Tribolium castaneum: one gene and its partner. The protein of the gene in region 2 interacts with the protein of the main gene of each other region in a pairwise test. Links are inferred from orthologs where the notes say so. Each region holds a gene or a part of one and is shown on either strand. Other genes may lie near its edges.

Evidence for each region.
Region 1: the proteins of PCNA (region 2) and Shmt interact in a two-hybrid assay, tested with the Caenorhabditis elegans proteins (2 studies listed by BioGRID). The link is inferred for Tribolium castaneum from reciprocal best matches to the Caenorhabditis elegans genes pcn-1 and mel-32.

The regions. Positions count from the first base shown.
Region 1 is NC_087399.1:11,318,600-11,323,054, reverse strand, and holds the start of Shmt (serine hydroxymethyltransferase), read right to left. Parts: upstream 3,075-4,455; 5' UTR 2,962-3,074; coding exon 2,914-2,961; intron 2,784-2,913; exon of another isoform or gene 2,623-2,783; intron 2,536-2,622; coding exon 2,306-2,535; intron 2,258-2,305; coding exon 2,112-2,257; intron 2,057-2,111; coding exon 1,926-2,056; intron 1-1,925. UniProt on the Caenorhabditis elegans protein: Interconversion of serine and glycine.
Region 2 is NC_087396.1:13,479,236-13,482,273, forward strand, and holds PCNA (proliferating cell nuclear antigen), read right to left. Parts: upstream 1,549-3,038; 5' UTR 1,425-1,548; coding exon 1,204-1,424; intron 1,153-1,203; coding exon 591-1,152; 3' UTR 501-590; downstream 1-500. Other genes in the region: cytochrome b-c1 complex subunit 7, read left to right, coding at 129-461. UniProt on the Caenorhabditis elegans protein: This protein is an auxiliary protein of DNA polymerase delta and is involved in the control of eukaryotic DNA replication by increasing the polymerase's processibility during elongation of the leading strand.

The DNA of each region.
Region 1 (4,455 bases), on a different chromosome or scaffold from region 2:
GCTTCTAATGTGGCATGATCAATTCTACGAAAAGCTTTTACAATTATTTTCTCTGGTGGTGCTGTCTATTTTTATTTTTATTTAATGATTTCTTATAAAAATTAACTTTTATATCTCGATGAGATTCGTACGCATTTTACATGAAGAATTCATTTTCACAACAAAATGACGTACAAAAAACGCCAGTCTGATGTTGTTATGTCAGAATTTATTGTTTTACATGATACACTACGTTCGTATCAAATAGATTTTATGTGCATTTTTCAGAAAAACCTAAACTATCAACTTTTGGAAAAAAAATTAAGAGGTGAAAAAATGTAAAATGAGATGCTGAATAATACAGAGTAATAAATATAATATTATAATATAATAAAAATAACAGTAATAAAATACAGAGGGTGCTCTATTTGCAAAAATCAAGTTACGGTGCTTCATAGTTTACCAAAATGAATGTGTCACAGCATAGTAATGCTACAATGCAAATGGACAGTCTTGTCACCGAAAGATACTCCCGATAGTAGTTTACACACAGATAAAATCCCAACTCAATATCTTAAAGACCAAGCACACTACAGTTTTTTAATAGTGTGCCTGCAGATGCACAGAATTGTAGAAAAAATTGAAATATTTTAAAATTTCGATAAGTGTGACTGTGTACATTAATAAAAATAAAATATGAAAGGGACAGGGATACGAAAATAAGTACGACTTGTGACATAAGCGCACTTTTGGCATGCAGTATCATCTTGGAGTTAAAAATAAAGTATATTCGCAATCATAATTATAATTTGGATATTGTTAACCTAGATTGACATACGGTCCGAAGAAATAGCAAAGACAAAACCAATAACCAGTAATAAAAAAACAATTTAGGTGGACGTATCATTAATTAATAGTAATTTATCATTTTCTCAGACTTTTATTTGTGTTTTGGTGCATTTGTGATTATTTAGTTATGTGAAACGTAAGTGAAGCTGCAGTATTTTTTTATTTATAAAAAATTTTATATCAAAAATTAAAATATTTTCAAGTGTTTTAGCATAAAAATTGCACAAAAACGCATTTACATCGATAGAACTTCATCAAAATAAAAACAAAACAAAATCACCAAATTTAATTTAAAAATGAAAGTAATACGAAACGAATAAAGGTTTAAACAAAGTAGGTTTAACAATATACATATTTTTACAAGTCTTCAAAATTCAAAGAAAAGCTCAGAATGTTTACATCTTACATTTCAACACATCCTGTTTCACACCTATTTTCGGTAATTTCTTATAAATAATTTATATGTAGAAATAAATATCTTATCAAATCTGAACAGCCACTTGTGTAAATCTTAAAGTGATTGATTTTTATCTTAATCATCGGCAATTTTTTTTATTTTTCAATACATATTAAACAAAAATAGGTAATAAGTAATAGCAAGTATTACAGTAAAATCCATAAAAAGAATAATAATTTAGCAACAGCAATCTCAATCTTAACGAAATAATAAAAATAATACAATTCCATTATTGGTAAGATTTACATAGCAATTTTTATTTCCCAATCATTGATAAAATTTTCTAATCAATAATTCGAAAAAATATTAACAGGAAATGACACGTTTACTTTAACTGATGCTTAAGTACGATTCAACAATTAAAAATACTTTTTATACGATCATGAAAAAAGATTAACGTCAAACGTAAAAATAACATTTTTTTATTAATGTTCAAGTATTTTAATTTTATTAATCAGTATACGTTCGGACAGTATGTGACCAAAGGAATGTAATGTGACAGCCCGACATTTGTCTACAAAAAAACTGACATTTTGAAAAAATTATGGCCGTTCGCCAGTAGAAAAAATAGTGTATGCGGCTCGCATTTATTGATGGCTATTAGGATAAGTCGAAGGCGAGAAATATTTCAAAATATTACCTTATATGGCAGCGATTCGAAGAATATGGAGGTAGCTGAGATTTTCTTAGTCGCAGTGAAGAATCCATGAGTCAAATGGCCCCCATCAGGCAAATCCAACCCCATAATACGTCCGTGCGCCTCAACCAATCCTTAGAAAAATATAAAAATAATGACAAACGTATTTGTTTTAATTCGGGGAAATACCTGTGTAGACGGCAAAATTGGCAGGTGACCCAGAATAGGGCTGCACATTCACACCCCATTCTTCTGGATTTAGTCTGTAAGCTTCCAAGGCCCGCTTTTGAGCTAAACGTTCGATCTGATCGATAAATTGGTTGCCCCCATAATACCTGTCATTTTAAAAGATAAAAAAATAGTTTAAATTTTCAATGAATTACCTTTGTCCAGGCAAACCTTCCGAATACTTATTATGCAGGCAAGTGCTCAAACATTGTAATACAGGCAGTGAGGTGAAATTTTCCGACGCAATCATTTCCAAACCGGTCAATTGTCGCTTTTTTTCCTCCTGAATGAGGGCAAAAAGTTCGGGATCGGAGTCCCAAACGTTTGAATGCAGCACTTGTTGACTCATTTTCCTTAACTGGGTCACAGCGAGTCTTTGCAGATTCTGAAAATTTATACTTCTTGTTAAAACGTTCATTTTGACAAGCCGGTGTAAAACGTTTCAAAAAAAGTAAGGTTATGTGGTGCTAACCTCAAAACTTTAAACTCGAATAATACCCGATTTTTGCTCAATTACTTTAAAAGGGGTTATCACCGAACTGTTTCACTCGTCACACTGATGGTCCACCACTCGTCCGAAGCTTCTTAAGAAATGTTTTAGAAAAAGTGATTTGTGATAACCTTATTTTATCAAAATACATGCTTGAGGTCACTGGGCCCCAACACAAGTTACGTTCTCGGTTGCTTAACTCGAAAACATCTTTGTTTGTTCGAATTGAGTTTTTATTTCGCGAAGAAATTGGGAAAATAGTGGTTTACATACCCGGTTGTTCAACAGGTGGTTGGCGGTTGAAAAAGCGCGCGAAAACATTTTGAATTCGAAGGATTCGAAAAAGTGGACGTTTCAACAGGGCGAAGAGGCCAAAAAGAACGATTTCGTTTACTATTGCGCTGCGTTAACCTCAGGGTGACGATAAGGCCTCTGATTTATTGAACTGCTGGAATGTTATCGCTAATTACTCAATTCATTATCATTCAAGATTTGGATCTTGGTGGTGACGAAAATTATCATGTTGCAACAGTTTCGATCGAATACGTGATTTTTCCAAGAAAACAATTTTATTAAGAATACAAATTGTATCGGAGAAGTGGAGAAAAACACGAACGGTCTCAGAGTACCATTTATGGGTTTATGGTAGAAACAACTTGTAATGTTGTTGTTGGAGGTATTTCACCTCAGTGCAAGTTCAGTGAAATTGTAGAAAGTGTTGGATTAGAATTCGGTTCTAATGCATCACGTATTTAGGTAAATTTTTGGGAATTCCAAACAAGGAGCTTAAACCCAATTTTACAACACGTATGGTCTAATTTTGCTAATTTGAATGGTGATACTGAAAATACTTATTATATGGTACCAATAATAATTTTTTTAATATATGAAATAAAATGCATTAGACATAGGTTCACTTTTCTGGCTAATAGTGTTTATCTAATAAACTAAGACAACAATTAATATTTGGTAAAATTAATACTATACATAGTTGGTAGAGATTTTATTAAAAAGCTGTGGGACTGTTACCAACATGACAAAAATACCCTGTTTTAGAATATTATTGAATTTATTTGGAATAGTTTTTTTACTAAAATAATAATATATTATTTTTAGAATTCAGAAGTGGTCTAGGTTATTATCTAACGACAATTTAAAATTGCACTTCAGATTTTTTTAATAAGTTGATTAGATCAACTAATTTTAAAATTGCACAGCTGTGATAAAATCTTGCTCATTGAGACACTTCATGTTGCTTTTAGATTATACAGGGCATTAGCCTAAAGAAGTAAACAGAATTTTTTTATCGAATTTGAAGTGTTTGCAAATATTCATTTCCTTTAGTTCAAGAAATTTTATATATTTTTTCTAATTTTGGTGAAAAATAAGTTGTTTTTAAAGAACTACATGGTAACAGATTTGTAAAAATTTCAGTGATTGATAAGTTACACAACTGTTTTTCTAAAATAACAAGTTTTTATCTTAGAGTTATATCTGCACTATTCCACTACTGAGTGAGGTTTAATTTAATTTAATAATAAATATGAGCTATTACATATATCTTATTACGTATAGATAATGAATAATAGTGAATGTAACCAAACCAAATTTCTGATTAAGTTTTCAATGGCTTTGAAATTGAGTTGGCATGTCTTTCATTGTTGCCAACTTTACACAATCCAAAAGGCTGCTTTGATTAGAATTTTAATCAAATATATGGTCCTTATGATATGAATATTTCGATTTTATAAATTAGTAATGACTTAATTAAGAAATATATACTAGTATTTAATTTCTTATCAAATTCGTCCAAAT
Region 2 (3,038 bases):
ACAAAACGAAAGTCACTGTTTTCAATTGACGTTTGATAAAAAAGGACTTGTTACCTAATAGCCGAGTACTGTTTTTAAAACGTTTTTTGTATTTCTGTTCATTACTATCATTGTTAGTTGTCCTCATCATGTCTTTGGGGTTCGTTCAGAGACGTTTCATGAGCAGCGCGCTCCAAAAATGGGCGTACAGCATCTCCGGGTTCAATAAATTGGGGCTCATGAGAGACGACTGTTTGGACGAAACCGCCGATGTAAAGGAAGCACTTCGCAGACTGCCACAGCAAGAAGTAGACGCCCGCAATTACCGCATCCTTCGAGCCGTTCAATTGTCAATCCAGAAAGACATTCTCCCCAAAGACCAATGGACTAAACTGGAAGAAGACCGCCTTTACCTGACCCCAATCGTACAACAAGTGGTCAAAGAGAGAGAAGAGCGCGAGGAATGGGAGAAAAATTATTAATAGTTTGGTGTTTCGTAGTTGTAAATTGTAAAAAATAAATTATTAAAAGTAGCACTTTATTTTAGTTTAAAAAATACAGAACGTGAACAAATGAGTAAGAACGTGAATATTGGACTCAAATTAAATAGTCTAGTTTTCATCCTCTTCAATTTTGGGAGCTAAGTAAAACCTAAGGTGTCCAAGATCGGGGATCTGGTACTCGACCACGAGTGGGACGTTGTCAGACATGGACAACTGGACCTGAGACGCCAGAGGAGTAGCTTTCGTGAAGGAATTCAAATACTGGCAGGCGAAAGTTAGGCTCACAGGTTCCTGCATTTCGATCGTTACCGACTCCTCTTCCTTCTCAAAGTTGTTAGTTTGAGCGATTTTCACGTTCGCAGTTCCAATATCGCCGCCAGTGGAGAATTTAACTCCTTCTTTCGTGCACGAAATCATGATGGATTCCCCAAACTGGGCCAAATCCTTGCATATCCTGGCAAACTCGCCAGAAGGCATGCGAATAACGCAGGAGAAATCCGTCTCAGGAATCCCCAGATGCTCCTGGTCCAAATTCATGAGTTTCATTTCGTAATCGGAGATTTTCTCCTGCTTTTTGGCTTCGAACATGAAGGTGACTATGTCGGCATCGTCCTGGGCCTTGATCGTGACCGTGTCTTCGTTGTTCGCACATTTGAATATCTTTGCCATACTGTTGAAAAAATTATGAATAAGACAATTGGTGCTTAAGCTTGCTACTTACTTAGCCAGATTCATGCCCATTGTTAAGTTGCGGTCGCATCTGTATTTATCGAAACCATCGGATCGCAACATAAGGGACACCAGAGAGACGTGGGAATTGTCCATGGCCTGGAGCTGGATCCCCGACTCGGAGCAGTCAAAGGAGGCTTCATTGAGAAGGTCCTTGATGGCATCCAGGATTTTCTTGAAGGTGGCACTCGCCGTCAAACGTGCTTCGAACATTTTGCCGGTTAACACAGAAAATAACGACACAGAACTGAATTAACACAAAGGGCAGTGCACCAAGTGAGCCGACAACTTCCTGGAAATGCGAGGGAAACTGCAGTAAATGCGCGCCAATTTCTTGGGGATTTTCAAATTCGTCAATGTGGATCTGCTGAGGCAACGTGATTGGCTGATACCGATCACATGACTTTCAAGAAATTGTGAATAATCCACGTAATTGTGCTAAATTTATTTTAAATATAGTTACTTGTTGTGACACAAGTTTTGCGTCCTGTAATACTCCTATATTGGCTTATTTTAGTTAAATAAAAAAGCTGGAATACGGGGGTTTGAATTTGGGGCTAATTGTTTTGTGTGGTTGTCGTCATGGGGGTGAAAGTGGGATACGCGCATTGGCAACACGAGAGTATAGGCCAGGGGGGTTTTGCACTCCCGGGGAGATGAAAAGGGACGACCAATGACGACTGCTTATTTTAAAACAAGCGCGTATTTATTAGGGATTTCATTAAATTATATTTTTTGACGTAACAATGACATCTACGCTTGCGCGCAGATCGCTAAAAAGATCGCGCCGAAAATATCGCGCCAAAAGTGTTGTTTTGTCACTCATCGTTCAACGTGTTACCGGAAGTATGTAGCAATTATTTGTTTCATCGTTTAATCAAAGCAAAAATTCTGATTACAGTTCGTTAGTGAGTCAATTCCTGGTGTTGAGCGCCGACCAAAAAGATAAGTATCTCTTGTTTTGTTAATATAACCTCATCTTTTTGATTGGTGTTTCTTTCTATTTTAAAGGCATTGGTCTCTGGGCTGGAGTGACGGATTTTTGATTTCTACTACTCAAGCGAACTTTAGTCATGGCTGGTTATCGCAAATATTCCTGCAAATACCCCGGATGCACCAGTGGTTATGTTCCCAACAAAGGACATGCCAACAAGCATTTCTTCACCTTCCCTAAGAATCTAAAGCTTCACGAATTGTGGAGGAATGCCTGCAAAATTGAGGATCCTGTAAGTTCAAAATTTTGGCGTTTTCTCGATTTAGGGTATTTCAGAATTTACTTTTAAGTTTCTTATTTGCGCTCGAGTGTGTCAGTGCACTGCATGTACCTCCTCGTGGTCGTAGCGTGGGCAACTGTTTGCTGACAGACAAGGTAAAAGTCATTGCAAAGAAGGCCTTATTTTGTTTTAAGTCTGGAGCAGACAGGCAAAACATGCCAACACTAACTGATTTAATTTTTTGATAATTTTTGTATAATTAAGAAATAATACAATACTTTAATTTTTTGAAAAATTTAATTTGTTATGTTACTCAAGTGTACAATAAAAATGTTAACAAAATCTGTGTTTTATTACCCCAAAACAACTTTTTTTGTAAGTTTCATTGCAAATTTTGTTTAAAATAAATATAAAATGTTTTCATTTCGTTTAAAATGAAAATATTTTTTTTTATTTTAAACAATTTGCAATAAAACTTGTAAGATAAAAATAATAAAAAACAGAATATAAAAGGAATTTATTCAAACGTGGCGCTTTACCGTGGTAGTAACGCACTTCAGCACCAGAGGCGCTGTATTCTCGTGTTGCCAGTGATTTACTAGGGAATTATCAC